Arabidopsis thaliana: one gene and its partners. The protein of the gene in region 1 purifies or fractionates together with the protein of each later gene. This does not show direct contact. Each region holds a gene or a part of one and is shown in the gene's direction. Other genes may lie near its edges. The genes, in order: DPB, AT2G05830, NRPB11 and ABCE2.

What was found.
Region 2: the proteins of DPB (region 1) and AT2G05830 purify together in Arabidopsis thaliana (affinity purification with mass spectrometry, with the first as the bait; one large-scale study listed by BioGRID). This does not show direct contact.
Region 3: the proteins of DPB (region 1) and NRPB11 purify together in Arabidopsis thaliana (affinity purification with mass spectrometry, with the first as the bait; one large-scale study listed by BioGRID). This does not show direct contact.
Region 4: the proteins of DPB (region 1) and ABCE2 purify together in Arabidopsis thaliana (affinity purification with mass spectrometry, with the first as the bait; one large-scale study listed by BioGRID). This does not show direct contact.

What each region holds. Positions count from the first base shown.
Region 1 is NC_003076.8:840,582-845,985, forward strand, and holds DPB (Transcription factor DP), read left to right. Parts: upstream 1-1,906; 5' UTR 1,907-2,134; intron 2,135-2,228; 5' UTR 2,229-2,260; coding exon 2,261-2,511; intron 2,512-2,886; coding exon 2,887-2,966; intron 2,967-3,104; coding exon 3,105-3,148; intron 3,149-3,369; coding exon 3,370-3,432; intron 3,433-3,525; coding exon 3,526-3,672; intron 3,673-3,754; coding exon 3,755-3,823; intron 3,824-3,922; coding exon 3,923-4,021; intron 4,022-4,121; coding exon 4,122-4,192; intron 4,193-4,285; coding exon 4,286-4,619; 3' UTR 4,620-4,873; downstream 4,874-5,404. Other genes in the region: AT5G03406 (Class II aaRS and biotin synthetases superfamily protein), read left to right, coding at 13-101, 241-370, 490-582, 765-863; AT5G03420 (5'-AMP-activated protein kinase-like protein), read left to right, coding at 5,060-5,220, 5,343-5,404. UniProt on the Arabidopsis thaliana protein: Involved in the regulation of the G1/S transition. Increases the DNA binding activity of E2F proteins after heterodimerization.
Region 2 is NC_003071.7:2,227,539-2,232,693, forward strand, and holds AT2G05830 (NagB/RpiA/CoA transferase-like superfamily protein), read left to right. Parts: upstream 1-2,000; 5' UTR 2,001-2,220; coding exon 2,221-2,292; exon of another isoform or gene 2,293-2,372; coding exon 2,373-2,428; intron 2,429-2,502; coding exon 2,503-2,661; intron 2,662-2,744; coding exon 2,745-2,844; intron 2,845-2,929; coding exon 2,930-3,072; intron 3,073-3,262; coding exon 3,263-3,368; intron 3,369-3,637; coding exon 3,638-3,776; intron 3,777-3,871; coding exon 3,872-4,140; intron 4,141-4,220; coding exon 4,221-4,301; 3' UTR 4,302-4,611; downstream 4,612-5,155. UniProt on the Arabidopsis thaliana protein: Catalyzes the interconversion of methylthioribose-1-phosphate (MTR-1-P) into methylthioribulose-1-phosphate (MTRu-1-P).
Region 3 is NC_003074.8:19,317,344-19,320,808, reverse strand, and holds NRPB11 (DNA-directed RNA polymerase, RBP11-like protein), read left to right. Parts: upstream 1-1,685; 5' UTR 1,686-1,810; coding exon 1,811-1,863; intron 1,864-1,944; coding exon 1,945-2,034; intron 2,035-2,123; coding exon 2,124-2,202; intron 2,203-2,308; coding exon 2,309-2,398; intron 2,399-2,486; coding exon 2,487-2,582; intron 2,583-2,707; coding exon 2,708-2,740; 3' UTR 2,741-2,960; downstream 2,961-3,465. Other genes in the region: AT3G52100 (RING/FYVE/PHD-type zinc finger family protein), read right to left, coding at 32-120, 201-293, 404-453, 532-706, 848-901, 980-1,319, 1,435-1,466; chx28 (cation/hydrogen exchanger 28), read right to left, coding at 3,074-3,465.
Region 4 is NC_003075.7:10,499,215-10,505,740, forward strand, and holds ABCE2 (RNAse l inhibitor protein 2), read left to right. Parts: upstream 1-1,908; 5' UTR 1,909-2,100; intron 2,101-2,679; 5' UTR 2,680-2,691; coding exon 2,692-2,794; intron 2,795-3,014; coding exon 3,015-3,100; intron 3,101-3,195; coding exon 3,196-3,293; intron 3,294-3,376; coding exon 3,377-3,494; intron 3,495-3,583; coding exon 3,584-3,673; intron 3,674-3,778; coding exon 3,779-4,083; intron 4,084-4,178; coding exon 4,179-4,374; intron 4,375-4,459; coding exon 4,460-4,645; intron 4,646-4,734; coding exon 4,735-5,004; intron 5,005-5,091; coding exon 5,092-5,337; intron 5,338-5,442; coding exon 5,443-5,562; 3' UTR 5,563-5,577; intron 5,578-5,684; 3' UTR 5,685-6,003; downstream 6,004-6,526. Other genes in the region: AT4G19200 (proline-rich family protein), read left to right, coding at 63-321, 896-1,176; AT4G19220 (Tetratricopeptide repeat (TPR)-like superfamily protein), read right to left, coding at 6,052-6,526.

The sequences.
Region 1 (5,404 bases):
CTTGTTGTGTAGCTTTACTGCTTTGAAGATAGGGGTAATCGCCGTGTAGCATTGAGGCCTGAGCTTACACCTTCTTTAGCGAGGCTTGTCATACAGAAAGGGTAACTAATGCAGAATTTTCTCTCAAGCCTTGAGAATTGTCCTTATTCTTCAATGAGCGGTTTATTTATTTTTGTTTGTAAAAATTCTGTATCAGGTAAGGATGTGAGAATGTTGATTCCCATATTCTTTTTGGTCCAGAAAATCTGTTTCCCTTCCATTGAAGTGGTTTGCTGTTGGGCAGTGTTGGAGATATGAGAGAATGACACGAGGAAGGCGACGTGAGCATTACCAGTGGAATATGGATATTATTGGTGTGCCTGAAGTTACAGTATGTATCTCTCATACCTTTAATCACTTTAGGCCTTCTAGTTTTTTGTTATATGAACCTGATCTGTGTTTAAAGTCTCTATAAGCCGGCTAATTTGGTTCACAAACCTTTTCTTTTAGGCTGAAGCAGAACTAATTTCATCTATAATGACATTCTTCAAGCGAATTGGAATCACTGCATCAGATGTGGGTTTTAAGGTTTCAAGCCGCAAGGTATTTTTGCTTACGTTCTCTTTTGATGTGATATGATCATTTTGTTTCTTGGTTTACACTCTAGATACAGAACCAAGTAACTCACTTGCAATGCTAAACATGAGTTGAGATTATTTTGCACGATCTGCAGCATCTGAATATCCACTGTAGCTAACATCTCCCATAACTTCTTCCTTGTACAGGTTTTACAAGAATTTTTAAAAAAGTATGGTGTACCCGAAGACCTGTTTGGAAGAGTTTGCTTCATTATAGACAAGGTTAGCAATCTAAACATCAATTAACAGCTGCTTTGTTGCCAGAATTGGGACAAGAAGTAGAGAACATCGTGTGTGCTTTGGACAAAGATCTCCAAGGAGCTGCAACCACCATTGCAACCGCTCTTAAAGACAAAGGGCAAACCGTTGATTTAGTATTGGAGAGTAAACCGCTGAAATGGGTGTTCAAGAGAGCGGCTCGGGTAAACGCAAGAAGGCCGGTTCTGGTTGGGAAGTTGGTTCGGTCAGTGTCAAGGTTTTGTCTTCAGGTGAGCAATTTCAAGTCAAACTTGATGACTTGGAGTAGTAGTATCTAAGGCTTGAACAAATTGTTCAATTGTCCTTTTTTTCAAAAGCAATTGAGTTGAGATTGGATTTTTATTTTGTCCTCAAAGGTTTCATTAAGAATTTTATTGATGGATCTTCAATACTCGTTTATTCGTCTAATAGTGATTTACAAAATATACTTTTTGACTTCGAATCAGCCACATGTGGCATGTGATTTTTATTTCAAACCGAGAAATGCTAAAAAGAAAAGAAAATGTGCCTTTCGTGAACCTTAAGCTACATTATCACATAATCTTCGGAACTAGAAAAACTCTTTTGCTCCAGTTTTAGTAATGAAAGAGGATGAACATGATATGTTTATATTTCCTAAAAGCTCAAATCTTATCAACACTAGAATGAGTAAATTTCATATAATGAAAATTCATATCGAATGTGATTGACTAGTGGTATCAACCACACATGTTTTTAACTTTTTGACTTGATCATCCATCTACATTATGATGTATCAATGTATGTTTTTTATATTTGTTTTCATGCTTATTAAAGCCATATAAACATATTTTGGTAGATAATTCCAGTATTTAGCCAACAAAAGAAGAAGACGAAGATAATTTTAGTGTTTAGCCAAAATAAAAATAAAAAGATAATTCCAGTATTATATTCTGATTAACAAAAGACCTAAATTTCACTAAAGAGAATTAATCTTTTGGTAAAATAAAAAAAAAGTAAAGAAAATTATCTTCTTTAACTTTTTGTTTTTTTTTCACCTATGAGTCAGTTTGGTCCCTCTCTCTCTCTCTCATTGTGGACATCTTTTCACCATCGCACAAATAACAAGCCTCCCAACCCCGATCGACTTATCCTCCTCCTTCTCCGGCGAAATCCATTAACTCTCCGCCGCGAAAACCACCTTTCCAGAGTAGTATCACACTAAGAATTCTAATGTTGATCCGCCATTATTGAAGCTTCTAATTCTCGTTAATAACCAAAAACCCAAGTCGATTTTCAAGGTCAGTACTCAAAATCTGGGTTTTCGTCAAAATCAGAAACTTTCCTTGACAAATTTTAACAAATCTCTTTCTCGTTTTCTATTGAATTCTCCAGTAGCGCGGTAGTTAGTTTTAGGTGGAAGAAGAATGACAACTACTGGGTCTAATTCTAATCACAACCACCATGAAAGCAATAATAACAACAATAACCCTAGTACTAGGTCTTGGGGCACGGCGGTTTCAGGTCAATCTGTGTCTACTAGCGGCAGTATGGGCTCTCCGTCGAGCCGGAGTGAGCAAACCATCACCGTTGTTACATCTACTAGCGACACTACTTTTCAACGCCTGAATAATTTGGACATTCAAGGTGATGATGCTGGTTCTCAAGGAGCTTCTGGGTATGTAAACCACCTCAATTCTGTGATTTTTATATTAAAAGGCTTTGATGTGTTTATTGTGATGTTTGGTTTAGCGATTTTTAGGGTTTTCATTCTATTGCAATGGCTGCTTTTATGAGCTTAATGAATATATGAAACTGAACCAGTAGATGTAAGTATGATGTGTGGATCATACTTTTACAAGCTTGAATTTGGCTCTCCTGATATGTATTAGTCTAAAATCTACTAATAATCTGCATATTTGAATACTCATCTTTCCTATCCTTATTGGGACAAAAGATACTGTTTAGGCCATTGTCTTTGTGCGTTAATTTTTGTGTGGAAGTTGTTACATGTGTTCTGTGTAGTTTAGTTGATCATATAATCTATTTACAGTGTTAAGAAGAAGAAGAGGGGACAGCGTGCGGCTGGTCCAGATAAGACTGGAAGAGGACTACGTCAATTTAGTATGAAAGGTCTTATCTCTTTCTCTGCCCCTATTATGCTTTCATCTAAATGCCTTTCAAGTTTCTAGCTATGAATTGTGTGGATAATGCCTCTTAAGATTGGTTATACATTTAACTGATATTATGTTCGTCTGGCCTTCCTTTCAGTTTGTGAAAAGGTGGAAAGCAAAGGAAGGACAACTTACAATGAGGTACGGTAGTTTCCTTTTTAAACAAAAAGCTTCACAGTATTTATGCTTTGCAAGATCCATTCACTTCTGTTTATGTTATATGATGATACTGATTTATTGTGCTTACCAGTGTGATTAAACACTTGTCAAGATCACATATGGGAATATCAATTTGTCTCATGATTAGTACTGCAAACGTGTAGCTCTGTAATACGGTATCTAACAGGTGATAGTACTTTCAGGTTGCAGACGAGCTTGTTGCTGAATTTGCACTTCCAAATAACGATGGAACATCCCCTGATCAGGTATGCGTTTCTTCGATAGTTTCTACCCTGGAACGTGTGCAATACTCGTTGTGAACTCTGATGAAATTATATCATGTGAAAACGTTTTACCAGCAACAGTATGATGAGAAAAACATAAGACGAAGAGTATATGATGCTTTAAACGTCCTCATGGCTATGGATATAATATCCAAGGATAAAAAAGAAATTCAATGGAGAGGTCTTCCTCGGACAAGCTTAAGCGACATTGAAGAATTAAAGGTTTCAACCACATATTCTATGTGCAGATGTTCCATAGCTTGTTTAGAGAATTTTCCTGAATTTGAATTATTTTGTTTTGCAGAACGAACGACTCTCACTTAGGAACAGAATTGAGAAGAAAACTGCATATTCCCAAGAACTGGAAGAACAAGTAATGAACATCATCGATACTCTCGGCTTATCTGCTTCCTGTTACTTTTATCATAGATTCTTACATGGTCCTTCTATCATCTCTGTGTATGTCTGAAAGTATGTAGGCCTTCAGAATCTGATACAGAGAAATGAGCACTTATATAGCTCAGGAAATGCTCCCAGTGGCGGTGTTGCTCTTCCTTTTATCCTTGTCCAGGTAAACTTCACCAACAGCTTCGTATGATCTTAGATTGATCCACAAGGAAACCTCAGAAAAATGAAAAAATCACCTGATTGTTGTTGTTTCTCTGCACCAGACTCGTCCTCACGCAACAGTAGAAGTGGAGATATCAGAAGATATGCAGCTCGTGCATTTTGATTTCAACAGGTAAAATCCAAACACCAGATTTGATCTCTTTTCAGCTAATATATCTATGGAACCGATTACTGACACTGTGACAACTGTTTTCACTATTTGCAGCACTCCATTTGAGCTCCACGACGACAATTTTGTCCTCAAGACTATGAAGTTTTGTGATCAACCGCCGCAACAACCAAACGGTCGGAACAACAGCCAGCTGGTTTGTCACAATTTCACGCCAGAAAACCCTAACAAAGGCCCCAGCACAGGTCCAACACCGCAGCTGGATATGTACGAGACTCATCTTCAATCGCAACAACATCAGCAGCATTCTCAGCTACAAATCATTCCTATGCCTGAGACTAACAACGTTACTTCCAGCGCTGATACTGCTCCAGTGAAATCCCCGTCTCTTCCAGGGATAATGAACTCCAGCATGAAGCCGGAGAATTGAAACACGTATGAAGGCCCCTTGTACAATTTCTGTAAAACTGTAAAGTAGCTCTTGAAAAACTTTACCTGGTTTTTTGACGAATAGTCTGTTTAGCGGTAAATGTACCGGTGGTTTATCGAATCTAGGATCCTTGTCGGGTTTAGCGATTTTAAGAATCTTTGCCATAGGAAAAAAAAAACACTTTGCTCTGTGGTGTAGAAATGAATTTTATTAACCATTTGGATTAGTCCATGTTCGGTTCTGTTATTCGGAAACCCGGTTATGGACTTCAATTTTGGAAATTACGAAACTGAACTAATCGATTTCCGGTTTTGTTGAACCGAAATCCGGTTAAAATATTACCATATCAATCATATCATTAGAAATGTAGTTCTGTTTCATGTAATTCGGTCTGAATGTTAATAAATGCTGGGAACATCGGAGCTTGAGAAAGTCCGGCCATGGCGACGATTTCTCAGATACCTTTCTCTATCTCCTTCCCTTGTTTCGAATTTCGGAAACCATCGTTCTACTATCATCAGCCTCAACTTTTTGTTTCGTACTTGAATTCCACGAAGAAGCATAGTTTTATCTGTTTCGCATGTTCCACCAAACAAACCAGGTTCGAAATTTCTCGTCGTTTTTTTTTTTGGTTTTTGCTTCGATCTGTGGAAAATTGGAGACAGCAGACGTACTTCAATTATTGTTTTGGTTAATTGGTCTGCTTGAATTGAATTTGAACAGAGTTCGTAAGAGAGTGAAGAGCAATGAGGAGCTTCGGAGTGAGATTATGCAGTTCGTTGCTT
Region 2 (5,155 bases), on another chromosome or scaffold:
ACAGAAAATTAATTATAAGTTTGAATTAGAAAATCCGTTTTAAATACAATTGACTGCCATTTAAAATAAGATGGCATAGCAAAAAAAAATCTCCAACAATTTCGATAATTTTACCTTGTGTTCTGTTTTTTTTTACTTTTTGACAGAGGAGTTTCATCATACATTCTTCTTCATCTACAATAGAAAAAGAGATTATTGTTAATTAACTTGATTTGATGTTTGTTTTGTGTCTCGAGAAGAGTTAATGGAACAATGAGTCAAAAAAGGCAGAAGAGAGAGAGATGGCTATGCGAAATGAAAGAGGCCTAGCGAAGAAACAAAGCCCTAATAAAAGCAGAGAAATGAAGCGAAAATGCGATCACATCCATGATTCATTTATTTTTAAATTTATTTATGTTATTAAAAATAAATTATAATTAAAAACATATACAAAATATTTTTAGTTATTGTACCTAAACCCGCACCAGTCCCGCTTAAGTTTTTCAGGTAACAGAATAAATTTAGGTGTGTTTGGTTACTGGTTAAATAGAATAATGAATTTCTATTATGTTTGGCAATTGAAATAATGTAATTCAGAAGAAAAAAAGGAAAATTTGACAACATTGTGAGTTTGTTTGTTCAGAAAAAACCTTTTTCTACTATAGATGATTACTTTCTGAGCTAAAAGAAATGCTTATTTTTAGTTTGACATCTAACTTCTCACTTGTCAAATTACTCTTTTCATTACTCATAAAAATGCATTAAACTTTTTTTATTGGTTACCGTGAATTAAAAATATATAATCACAAGGATATGTAGTTGAAAAGACTTCGTTGGCCCTTTTCGAATGATTTTAAAACCATCTCATACGTGTGCTAAAAGTTTTGTCTACCAACTGTTTGTCGAAATGCTTCCGAAACGTTTTTTGTTTGTTGATAAACTAATAATAATTCTGATTTTCTGGTATTTTTTATTTGTTGTGCCGACTATTTTGCAGACACGAGAGATTAAAGGTATCCCAAAAATTTCTGGGAATATAGTTCTTATTCACCAATCATTTGTAGCAAACAAGATAGAAAAAACATGCCTAATTCTCCAAAGTTTGTTTTCATAAGTAATTTTGAATAATTTTCATTTCTCTTTATTTACTTCCATTATTTTGATATATAGTTCATATCCATATCTCTTATGATTAATTTTTTAATCATAACATGAGAAACGATAGGAATGAAACCTATTTGTAGGCGTTTACGATATTTCTTATGATACATTTTTTTTGTAAATTAGAATTTAGAAGTAGTCACTTTCGTTTTCATTACTGGTTCAATTAGAATGAGATATGATAAAACTAATAATTTTTTTCAATTGTCTGCTCTACAATCTACACAGGATTCCAAGGAAAAAAATACTTTAGGACTTCACATCACCACATCAGATATTGTCAAAGACAATTTTGTTTTGTGAAATCGAATACTCTGAATCCGGCTTTGATATCGAGGAAAAAACGCTTGACAAAGCATTGAAAGAAAAAAAAAATATTAGTTAAAGGAACCTTATACATTTTATGAAGTTTTTTTTTTTGTAAGCACCCGAAATAAAATTGATGAAGTTTGAGTATATCACTATGCCTTATGGTTTTTGCCGACCAAAATATGTCGAAATTATGAATACATATATTTTATTTATTTATTTATATTCTATTAAAATTATTTTGGGTGTAATAATAAAATTAAACTTCTATCAATTTTAAAGGGAGGATTATTAATTTAAATAACATTAAATCATATATGATATATAATCAAATAATATTTTAGTAATCTTAAAATTAAATTAAAATTTAAAAACTGATATTTAGATAATCATAAAGTATTAACCCACAACAATAAGTGATTACAATTTAAAGAACTACTATTAGTTTCTTAAAATATTTTAAAAGCACATGTGTTCTAAAAAGGTTACAGGTAGATAAGCAGTCTGCTCCTAAAGAACTATAAACAATAATCACTTTTAATTTGTTTAAAACCAGCTTGTTTCACGCCCTAAATTAACTAAAATATATCTACCATTATTCCAGACAAAACGACGTCGGTTGGTGTGTTTCACGCCGGCTTGGTGCTCTAGGCATCTATCTGATTCTCACTATCACTACTGACACAAATCCTTTTCCTTTTGTTCCTCTTTCTCTAAACCAATCTTTAAAACAACTTATTCGTCTTCAAGATTTCTCCAACAAGTCCTACCATGTCCGGCGAAGGAGACACGACCCTCAAAGCTATCTGTTACAAGCCTGGCTCTCTCCAGTTACTCGATCAGGTTCTCTCTTTCACTTCTATAAAGTTTTCAAATTTATACTTTTTTTCCTCAAATCTGTTTACTCGTCTGAATTGGAACAGAGGAAGCTTCCTTTAGAGACTATTTACTTAGAGATTCGTGATGCTTCAGATGGATGGTAAAGTCTTTACCTTTATGATTAGAGATTGTTTTGGGAAAATTGTGGTTTAAAAAGTTTGATACTTTTGGTAGGAGTGCTATTCAGGAAATGGTTGTACGTGGTGCTCCTGCTATAGCTATTGCTGCTGCTCTTTCTTTGGCTGTTGAAGTTTTCAACTTTCATGGTTTTGATGGATCAGCTTCAGATGCTGTTGCTTTTCTTGAGAACAAGTTGGATTATTTAGTGTCAAGGTTAGATTTTGGATTTGTTAGTTAAGTTTTGCATCTTTGGTGCTTACTCTAATGTCTTTTGCTTTTTATGTTTGTTTCTTCAGCCGTCCAACAGCAGTTAATCTTGCAGATGCTGCTTTGAAACTTAAACATGTTATAGCAAAGGCCTTGGCTACTGCCACCGAAGCCAAATCCATTTTCAAGGTATCAAGAAGTTTCGTAATTCATCTGTGTGTGTGCCTTTTGCTTTTGTAAGTTTAGCTCATTCTCTGTGCTTGTTGTTCTTCAGGCATATATTGAAGCTAGTGAGGATATGCTTGAAGATGATGTTGTTTCAAACAAAGCTATAGGAAACTTTGGTTTAAGCTTGTTGAGGCAACAAGCCAAGAATCCTGATAAGCTTTCTGTTTTGACCCATTGCAACACTGGCAGGTATTGATTTAGCTAGATTTTCTGAATTGCATAGATACCGTCTGCATAAGTTACTCAAGTTGAGTAATAGCATGTTACCACATATGTGTATGCAGCTTCAACCAATAGAGTTGTGTAATGGTTTTTGGTGTTATGTTTATGTGGTAGATTCCTAGTAAGGCATTAACTACGAGTTCTATTGACTTTGTAGCCTTGCTACCGCCGGATATGGTACTGCCCTCGGTGTCATCCGTGCACTCCATACTCAAGGAATCTTAGAAAGAGCATACTGCACAGAAACTCGTCCATTTAATCAAGTAAAACTCCTAAATTAATACTTTTTCTTTCTCAATATCGTAAGAAGAAGAATCCGTAGAATACCTTAAGTTGTTAGGGACGATAATTACCTCTATATTGACATATGTGTTCTTATCAAAACGGTGGTAAAAGCTTCAAAACCATGAAGGAACGTAGGACAGATACTTCTTGTGGCAGCTCCCTGAATCCATTGCTTTATAGAGTTTTCATATCTTGTTGAACTGTTGTTGAAAGTCTTTTGAATTTATGACTAAATGGCAATTGACAGGGATCGAGGCTTACAGCGTTTGAGTTGGTGCATGAGAAAATCCCTGCAACTCTCATTGCAGACTCAGCTGCAGCTGCACTGATGAAAGATGGTCGTGTTGATGGTGTCATCGTTGGAGCTGATCGTGTGGCTTCAAATGGTACACTCAAACACCTTAGATAAATCCGTTTTCTCTCACAAATCTGATTCCTTATGACTGAATCACTTCTTAACCAATTCATTGATATACTCCAGGCGATACTGCTAACAAGATTGGGACTTACAGTCTCGCCTTGTGCGCAAAACATCACGGGATCCCATTTTATGTTGCTGCACCTCTTACCTCAGTTGATCTGTCACTTTCATCCGGGAAAGAAATCGTGATAGAGGAAAGATCTCCAAAGGAGTTGATGCACACACACGGAGGACTTGGTGAACGCATTGCAGCACCAGGGATCTCAGTTTGGAACCCAGCTTTTGATATGACTCCAGCAGAGCTGATTGCAGGAATCATAACCGAGAAAGTTCGTTTTTCCAGCCTTGCTTGTTCTGGAAGATATTTATGCTCATTTATTTGAATCTCTCAACGTGTTTGTATATGCAGGGGGTCATAACAAAGAATGGCAATGATACATTTGACATAAGCAGCTTTGCCAAGAAGATAACAGGAAACTCATCTCGTTGAAGTTAGAGTCAGCATTGCGACTTGCGGATGTTCCCCTCTCTCTATATACTTGCAACAAAGCAAATTACTTTGTAATGTTTGAGCTACTAAGTACACTGTGGTAAAAATTGTCAAAAATAAGAAATAATCGATACGTTTTAGCCAATTGTAGGTAGCCAAAATGCTGGTCTTGGGTTTAATGCTAATGAAGATTGGGAAACAACTTGTTTTAGTGTAAAACAACTTGTCCATGGGCTTGCCCGGTCCATCTTGACTTGGTTCTTATTTCTCTATTTTTTTAAGTTTAAGAAAAGAATACCGTTTCTCCTACCCGTCAATATTGAAATAATTTCAGAGGTTTTCCTTGTTCTGTGTCAACAAACAATTCGAAATGCCTCGACTTTATCAATTTTTTGATAATTCTGAACTTTAGACCAAATGCATATGGACGAGCTATATTCTGGACCAAAAAACAAATGGTCTAATTGGGCATATGACCAGTTTTGTCCACGGATAATATGGGCTTGACCATATGGACAACGGGCTGCCCATGGGCATGAATTGAGTCAATAGACATGTCTTCATTTAATTGTATTTTTATAATTTTAATTACAATTACAACTAAATAATTTTTAAATAATATATTTTACATTTATAAGTTTTTACTTTTCTGAAAATTTTAAATTTTAATGAATTATTTCTTATTAAATTATTTACGATTTTAAAGGAAAGATAGTATTCCACAATTTTCTGGAATACGCAATTTTTAAATTTTACGGTTTTGACGGGAAAAATACAATTCTCCGATTTTACGATTTTGACGGAAAAACGTAATTCTGCAAATTTTCCACCAAAATCGTGATTTTATTATATTG
Region 3 (3,465 bases), on another chromosome or scaffold:
TTCAAGTATCACAAGGCAAAAAGTTAAATACCGTAAGCTCTGGCCATTCCCAGGGACTGTAGACTCACAACTGTAACATTTGGTGTGCTTAGGACACAAATAGGGTCCAGAACTAACATTCTGTAATATTCAGAGATTAAAATAAACCAATTTGCAAAAGATAAGATAAGAACCTTATACAGACGCAATAAATACTATACCTTGTGCCGAGGATGTTGGCAATCACAATGATATGCATCATCACATCTTTTGCAGAACATAAACTTTTTTGGATCCCCTAAAGTCCCGCAGCCCTAAAGGAAAAATGATCAAAAGAATACAAATAATCAAGCAGCAGTCATACCTAGCCCAGCATGTAAAGAGCAAGAATAATCATTGAGCACAAAGTTGTGTCCGAACATACCTCACAGATTCGGCAAGATGGGCACGCCCAAGAGCTCCAATTAAAAAGATCTGCTAGCAAAAACCGGTATAAGAATCTAGGCAGAAAGACTCATAAGTCATAAACAATAGATTCCTATGAAACAATACCTCTATGTTGGGCCCAAGACTTCACGCAGTTTCTATGATACTTCTTCCCACAACATTTGCAAGAAAGCATCTTGGCTCTCTCACTCTTCCCAACTTCAACCAAATAGCACATGTGACATGTTATGCTTGCACTGTGATGATCATGATCTTCTTCATTGAGGTCTTTGACTGAAACCTACATAGAGAAAGACATAACATTGAATTAGTGTCTTGACGAGAATAGACTTCATAATCATCCAAAAAATCACAAGTAGTTTACATATAAATCATAGATTACAGAACCCGAAAAGACAGGACAACACCAAAACACATACACGAGATACAGATAATCAACATCACTGAAAACACGTTTTCTCACAAAGACAGATTCCTATAAACAAGTTCAATTCAATTGACATAGCAGTAACCCCTAACCACAAAAACAAGTTTCGCAAGTAAGAATTCGAACCTCTAAGTCGCCAGAACAATCATTCGCAGCATAAACTTCCACAGCCTTCTTCTGCAACACCAAGGTGCGTTTAGCTGGTACCAAATTCGATGATGCAGCAACAACCTCCATCGCCGAATCACTCCCAACACCAACATTTCTAGCCGCAATGCGAGGACCAGTATCGAAAACAGCAAGCTTAGGCACATGGATCTGAACGGTACCGTCCTTGGAAACCTCAGCATCCCAGGGGTTTCGCACGAACTCCTGAAGAGAATGGATCTCTTTGAGATACACATCCTTGACTTCATTACCATGAAGATTCCGAGAAAACCCCAAAACGCAGAAGCAAATTTTCCGGCTGCGGAGAAAGAACGAAAGAAAGAAGAAAACCCCCAAATTAGAACAATTCGATTAGTAAAAACAAACAAGCCAACGAGTAAAGGAGGCGCCAAAAGAAAGAAAAAAAAACATACCATGTAATTGGACAAGCTACGTGAAAGGCCATAGTCGGTTTTCAAGTTTTACGCTTTCGGGTTCGATTTTTAGGGATCTGACTTCTTTTCTTTTTTTCCTGAATTTTTTGTTAGGTTTCTGAATTAAATCACTCGTCCTTTATTGTGTAAATAATATAAACCTAGAGGTCCTTAAACGGAAATATTATGTTTTATCGGCCCGATCCGACCCAAACTGTATACACCAATAATAATATAACACGTGGAGATTCGATCTTTTTTCTTTTATGAAAAACGACGTCGTATTATATTTTGTTTGCCAGAAAGAAACTGAAGAACTCTTGACTGTCTCTCTGCGGCGAAAAAGAGAGCGAAGCTTGAAATCTCCGATTAAGCCATGAATGCTCCCGAACGATATGAGCGATTCGTCGTCCCTGAAGGCACCAAGAAGTAATTGAAGTTTCTATCACTCGAAATCATACTCGATAGTCCTCTTACATGTGCTAAACCCTCTCGATTTCTATGTTCTAGGGTTTCTTATGATAGGGATACGAAGATCATCAATGCTGCTTCCTTCACGGTTGAGAGAGAAGACCATACGATTGGAAACATTGTCCGCATGTACGTCTTTTTGTTGATTTTGCAACTCTTTTCTCAGAAAGAAGAAAGCCCTAATTTTTGTCAGCTCTGTTCTGAAATTTTTGTTTTAGGCAACTTCATCGCGACGAGAATGTCTTGTTTGCTGGATACCAACTTCCTCATCCTCTTAAGTACAAAATCATAGTGAGGGTAAGTTCCAAGTTTTTCAGTTGCTTCTACTGTAGAGCCTGTTGCTTTGAATTGGAAAGAACAATGCTATCCTCTGCGTTTTTTTCAGTTCATTGATTGACCTTAGGATCCAAAAGATTGGTTTAGGAACTTAAAAGTAGTGTATGGTTGTTTGGAAACCGTGAATATTTCTTGGTTTAAGCTTCTAGTGTTAACAGTTTCCTCTGGGATTACTGGTTGCTTAAGGACTTATAGAAAGATCTTGTATGTTGTTGTTTAATTGTGAAAGTGGTTTCTGTATGTAGATTCACACAACAAGCCAGTCTTCCCCAATGCAAGCATACAACCAGGCCATCAATGACTTGGACAAGGAGCTCGACTACTTGAAGAACCAGTTTGAGGTACATAAGTTTCTCTCTTCGGATATACTTATCTGATTATGTGGTTAATAAGCTAGACGAATATCAAATGCTATTGATGTTGTTTGATGTACCTGGTCTTATGGTATACCCTTCTGTGTTTTCAGGCAGAGGTGGCCAAGTTTTCGAATCAGTTTTAAGGAACTTGGAGTTCTCCATCAGCACATCGGGGAAAACGTTTTACATTGTCTTTTGCTAAGCACCAATCAAGACTAATAATGAGCTTGGGAAATTTTCCCTAGTTATGCTTTGTATAAATCAAAAACAAATCGGCCTGTAACTTCTTTTAACTCTATGTTTCAACACCATTTCAGGATGCTATGAAGTAATGCTTAGATTACCTCTTCTTTTTACCATTCTATCTACATAAACCGCTTAATGTTTGAACTATTGTACAAAGTCTCTTTAAGAGTTGTGATGGTGAAGCTACTACTCTTCCCAAGCTACTAAGTAAAGTGCATTTGTACAGATATTCACAGTATAGTGAAGTCATCATGAAGCCCTTCTAGCTGACCCCGAGTACGCTGCTGCTGAATAATTAACATTGATGTGTTGTGTGAGAAATCTGATCCTGAAAGAACGTCACCTATGGGACCAAGCTCTGGACATTGCTGCCAGTCGTTGAGGCCGGTGGTTAACCCACTGCTCGCTCTTCCCCCTCCTCTTCCTACAATCACCAGCCCATACTCTCCATCTAGTGATTTAAGAGCTGTGAAAGTCTCAGAGGAGTTGGTGAGATGCTTCTCCATGTAAGACACTCTTCCACCTCCAGCTATGTATCTTTCGTAGAACTCAGCAAAACATTCATCATCAAGCTTCATTTCCTCCTCTTGATCTACCACACTCGCTCTGTTCAGGATGCTGC
Region 4 (6,526 bases), on another chromosome or scaffold:
TTGCCAAATGTTAAGTTTGTTTGATCTTTGACAAAATATTGTAGGTTTAAAGTAAAAAAGCAATGGGAGGTGGTAAAGACAAGCATCATGATGAGCAAGAGAAAGGATTTCATGGTTTTCCAGGAGGTGGACATTACCCACCTGCTCAAGGAGGTTACCCTCCTCAAGGTTACCCACCACAACAAGGGTATCCTCCAGCTGGAGGCTACCCACCTGCCGGATATCCTCCTGGTGCTTACCCTGCTGCGCCCGGTGGTTATCCTCCTGCACCTGGAGGTTACCCTCCTGCTGGCTATCCTGCACCTGGAGCTCACCATTCAGGTATGCATTGTCTCGTTAAAGAGCTCTTCTTTGTAGTTTTGGTAAATGTTGATGTTTTCTATGCAAAAGCTATGGAGTGTCCTTGTAGCTTGCTTGGATTATCAACCTGCTAAATATTGTTAATCATTGAATGTTAATAGGAAAAGACTTTATAAATGTTTCGGTTTTCTATGAAAAAAGCTAAAGATTGTGCGTGAAGTTTGCTGGATCATTAACCTTCGAACTTTGAATGATAATAGAACAATAGTTTGTAAATCTTACTGTTTTCTTTGTAAATAAAGCTTAGAACTGGCCTTGTTGTTTGCTGGATTATCAGCCTGCTAAGTATTGTCAAGTTTGAATGATAGTATGACAATTGTTTCTGAAATGTTGTTTTTTTTTCTGTGATAAAAAGATGAGGACATATAAACTTACTGTCTTCTGTTTTGGTGTATACATTGATGTTTTAATTTTAAATCTACTAGGAGTACATGTTTAATCGTGTGTGCTTATCAATATGCAACTTTGTGGTCTCTTATATGCATTCTGCTACTTTGTGGTTCTCCATGTAATACTATTTTCTTTTTTCCATCAGGACATTCTGGTGGTGGACTCGGAGGCATGATAGCAGGTGCAGCTGGTGCAGCCGCAGCAGCTTATGGAGCTCACCATGTTGGTCACGCCTCTCACAACCCTTACGGGCATGCTGTAGGACATGGAGGGTATGGCCATGCCCCTGCTCATGGCTTTGGCCATGGTGGTCATGGTAAATTCAAGCACGGAAAGCATGGAGGCAAATTCAAGCACGGAAAGCATGGAAAGCACGGGAAACATGGCATGTTTGGAGGAGGAGGCAAATTCAAGAAGTGGAAGTAATCTCAAAAACCCCACCTTTGATCCTCTCCTCCAGTATAGTCTCATTACCTGACCGATGTTTCTAATAATCCCCCTTCAAACATATTTCATTTTAACTATGTCGGTTTAGAGATTACTGGTTGAGGAAATAATTGGAGAGTGCTAGTATAAACCTTATGGTATCTGCAGCAGAGGTTTCTTTAATCTCTCAATAGTAGATGCTTTGAAACTTATCTATAATTTGGTATTGTAATGACAGTTTGTGTTTGGTTTTTTCTTCAGTATCTTCTTTGTTTGATCATTTGATGTTGGTGGAGTTCTCCAAAATATTTATGCTATTGTAGATCCTAACCTTTCTATCTTGTTATTCTTCGTTTTTTGGCCATTATTTTCGTTTCGCTCCCGATCCAAATTCCAAAGTACTTCAACAATATCTTATGCAATAACGAGACAAACACTTAAGGTCGTGCAAGAATAGTGTCTGTTTTTCACTGATTCACTTTTACAGAGAACAAACTGAATTAATTTTGATTATTGAATAGTTGACATGCAATAATATTTGTTAATCCAAATGAATAGATAAAAAAAAAAATTCCTTGAGAGTAAAGAAACTAAATTTTGGAAGACAATTTTTAACTAGTTTTCTCTAAAACTAGGAAAGTCAGAAAATGAGAAAACAAATTTGATTTTATTACGGAAGTGAAGGGCTTTCCGACAAATTGCTTTGCTCAGACCAAACTGTAACCGACCCAAGCCCAATAAAAAAGCGAATCGGGTCAAACGAAAACAGATAATTCAGAAAACCCTAAATTCGTTTCTCTTTTTTTTTCTTCATTCTGAGCAAAGCAGTAACTCTCAGGTGCGTGTGCTCTCCGCTGGTTCCTTAGAACAATCGGCACACGCTTTTTCATTTCAATCTTCTTCTTCTACTCTTAAGTATCTCAGGTACTAATCTCGATTTCTCTATTTCTCGTCCATGGAGATTTAGATTTCAAGTCAGATGCTTTTCGATTTGTTACAGATGTATAATTTTTGTAATCGATTGATTCGCAGCTTGGATTGTATTGAGCCATCGACATACCTTCAAAATTCTTATAATTGTATTGAAAGTGTTTGAATTTAATGTTTTTTTTTTTCTTTCTCTCGATTGTTTTGATTTCTGGGCAAGTGTCAACTTTTGTAACAGATTAGTGACCTTTCTCTTTATAGATATGTGGAAGAATTTGGAATTTACAAATTCGGTTCACCATTTTTATCTGAAGCACTGAATTTGCGTTTTTCAAGCTTGAGTGAATATTATTTCTTGGCTCTTAAGATTTTGCATGTCAACTATTATTTCATCATTGTTAGCATCTTGTGGTGTTCAAGTTATTATTTTAAATATTGTTTGTGCTACTCTATAGTTATTCCCTATGTTGTTATTTCGTTCCTTTGCCTTAGCGTGACATCTTTATTTGGTATATTTGTATCTGTGTGATTTAGTTTCTTCAGGCTGTTAAACTATAGATTTCATGTATTTTGTAGGTCTGTTGAGAGATGGCAGATCGATTGACACGTATTGCTATTGTGAGTTCAGACCGTTGCAAGCCAAAGAAATGTCGCCAAGAGTGCAAGAAGAGTTGTCCTGTGGTCAAGACAGGTGTATATTTTTATTCCAAATTTGGATCTGTGGTCTTTCATGTGGATTTATTATTATTGTACTGTAATTGATTAGCTTTGTTATGTGCGTCATGCCAATTAGTAGACAGAGAATGGTTAGGTGTTTATGTGAAGCCATTAGCTTATAGTTCCTACTTGAAGTTGTTGTAACTCTACAAATTTTTAGTGCCACTTGTTCATTAACTTGCCTTTTATCTTAGGAAAACTTTGTATTGAGGTGACTGTTGGTTCCAAGCTTGCTTTTATCTCAGAGGAGTTGTGTATCGGTTGCGGTATTTGTGTGAAGGTATGTATGCATAGGCTCTTTCCGATATCCAAGATGCCTCTAGAAATGGCACCTAAACTGGGATGCTAAATGACTCTGTTGTTACACAATTGCAGAAATGCCCGTTTGAAGCTATTCAGATTATCAATCTTCCAAGAGACTTGGAGAAAGATACGACCCATCGTTATGGGGCAAACACTTTTAAGTTACACAGGTTCGTTTATCTACTATTTTTCCTGAAACAAATTGACCGCTCTTGTAGTTTTCAGACAATGAAATCTTTGTCTTTACTTCCAGGCTCCCAGTTCCAAGACCAGGGCAGGTGCTAGGGTTGGTTGGAACCAATGGTATTGGAAAATCAACTGCTCTGAAAATTTTGGCTGGAAAGCTCAAACCAAATTTGGGCCGTTTCACTGTAATAGCCTCTCTTGAGTTTCTAAACTTTTATCTTCGAAATTTGGTCTCTTTCATAGTTGATGTGTTCATATATTCCTTGTTGAACAGAGTCCTCCAGACTGGCAAGAAATCTTGACTCACTTCCGTGGTTCAGAACTTCAAAACTACTTCACACGTATTCTAGAAGATAATCTTAAGGTACAGTTGAAACTGATATTAATATTTTTCTCCATGAGGTAGCTAGGTATTATTTGATGTTTAAGCAGCTCAATTGAGCAAGTTCTGATACCCTGTGCATGGCAGGCCATTATAAAGCCTCAATATGTCGACCACATCCCAAGAGCAGTTAAAGGCAATGTTGGAGAGGTCCTTGACCAGAAGGATGAGAGAGATAAGAAGGCAGAGCTCTGTGCTGATCTGGAGCTGAACCAGGTCATTGACCGTGATGTTGAGAATTTATCTGGTGGTGAGCTGCAGAGGTTTGCAATCGCTGTTGTTGCCATACAAAATGCAGAGATTTACATGTTTGATGAACCATCTAGTTACCTCGATGTTAAGCAAAGACTCAAAGCTGCTCAAGTTGTTCGTTCTCTCCTGAGGCCTAATAGGTTTGAATTTCCCAGCTTCTGAAGTTTTTTTTTCAAAAGGGATAAAAAATAAGGTACTTACATTGTTTTTTTTTTGTTTTTTTTTTGTTTCCCAGCTACGTCATTGTTGTGGAGCATGATCTCAGTGTTCTTGATTACTTGTCGGATTTCATTTGCTGTCTGTATGGGAAACCAGGAGCCTATGGTGTGGTGACTCTCCCCTTCTCTGTCAGAGAAGGAATCAACATTTTCTTGGCTGGATTTGTTCCTACAGAAAATTTACGTTTTAGAGATGAATCTTTGACCTTCAAGGTATAGATATTTTGTATGATGAAAGGCAAAGTTTTGTCGCCAAGGCAATAAATTGTTTTCCTCAATGTTTTTCTTTTGTTTGAAGGTTGCTGAGACTCCACAAGAAAGTGCTGAAGAGATACAGTCGTACGCTAGGTACAAATACCCCACGATGACCAAAACTCAAGGAAACTTCAGGTTGAGAGTGTCGGAAGGTGAATTCACTGACTCTCAGATTATTGTAATGCTTGGGGAGAATGGTACAGGGAAGACAACATTTATTCGGATGCTGGTATTCTCTTCTTCCATGATATGTTCTCTTGTGGTTAGAGTTTTAGAAAGTACTGTACTGTAAAGTTGTAATATTGGTAATATTTGCAGGCCGGGTTGTTGAAACCAGACGACACAGAAGGACCAGACAGAGAGATACCAGAATTCAATGTTTCGTATAAGCCACAAAAGATCAGCCCAAAGTTTCAGAATTCAGTTAGGCACCTGCTACATCAAAAGATTCGAGATTCTTACATGCATCCACAATTTATGTCGGATGTGATGAAACCACTTCAGATTGAGCAGTTGATGGATCAAGAAGTTGTCAATCTCTCAGGAGGAGAATTGCAAAGGGTTGCATTAACTCTGTGCCTCGGAAAGGTAATTATTTTGTTTCAGACGTCTATATGACGTAGTTGCTTTCTTTCTCTCAGTGATCTCATGCATCCACAATGTGAATTCTTACAGCCTGCGGATATATACCTGATCGATGAGCCAAGTGCATATCTCGATTCTGAGCAACGTATTGTTGCTTCTAAAGTCATAAAGCGATTTATTCTCCACGCAAAGAAAACTGCATTTGTAGTCGAGCATGACTTTATAATGGCGACCTATTTGGCAGACCGGGTCATTGTGTATGAAGGACAACCATCCATTGATTGTACTGCAAATTGTCCTCAATCACTGCTCAGTGGAATGAATCTCTTCTTATCTGTAAGTCTCCTATTATATCTCTTAGTTACACCGTATGGGCAAGAGAAGAGGGCATAAAGGTTTGGTGCTAATGATTCCTATTTTATGTTTTTCGTTACCATGCAGCATCTGAACATCACATTCAGACGGGATCCCACCAATTTCAGACCAAGAATCAACAAATTGGAGTCGACCAAAGACAGGGAACAGAAGTCTGCAGGCTCATACTACTACTTGGATGATTAGGACAACTACCAAGAGGTTCTTGATCACTAAAATCCAATCATGTTTTCTCAATCATACAACGTTTTATGGAATCAACATCTAAAATGTTTGTTTTCTCTTAATGTCCTTCAATGGATTCACAGAATATAGGGCATTGTTCGAATTCCAGAAGGGTCTTTTGCTCAGAGGAAGTTGATCTATGAGCTCGGAATATTTTACGCAGCCATCTGTTTTCCGAGTGCATAAGCACAGATGTTTCTTTCTGGTCAAGCTTTTAATTGTTGTTTCATCAGTTTTACTTCTACATTTTCTCTCTCACAGCTTTTATTAACTGAGCAATAAAAGTTTAAGAATCTGTAACCTTTTTTTCTTTTTGGCTTTGTACTTCCTGAGTTGATGATTTCAACATTTACTGTGATGTTACTACTTTGGATTTTACAATCTATTGCCTATTTTTACATTATTTTCTTTCTTCTTACACAGCGTCTAACTCACTGATATAGGAAAACTTCAAGAAACAGTATCTAAACACCTAACGTCAATAACACTGTAACCAGGAAGCTTTTTCAAGGCATTATCCTCCACCATCTTCCGTAGTCTTACAGCTTCTTCCCAACCTCCCAATCCAACATAAGTATTTGCCAACGAGATGTAATAAGATGCATTGTCTGGTTCCATTTCAAACAAAACTTCTGCAACTTCTTTTCCCAACTTTGTATCCCCATGATAGTTGCAAGCGCTCAACAACGCTCCCCATACACCTGCTTTTTGTGGCTCACCAATCCCTGTGATGAACTCATAAGCTTCTCTCAGTTTCCCTGCCCGGCCAAGCATGTCAACAATCCAAACCCGATGCTCAGTAACTGGTTTAACCCCAAATTTTTCCTCCATTTGCTTGTAATAACTTAGACCTTCATCAATAAACCCAGAGTGGCTGCAAGCTGACAACAGGCTTATGAAACTGCTCTTGTTTGGTTCCATCTCT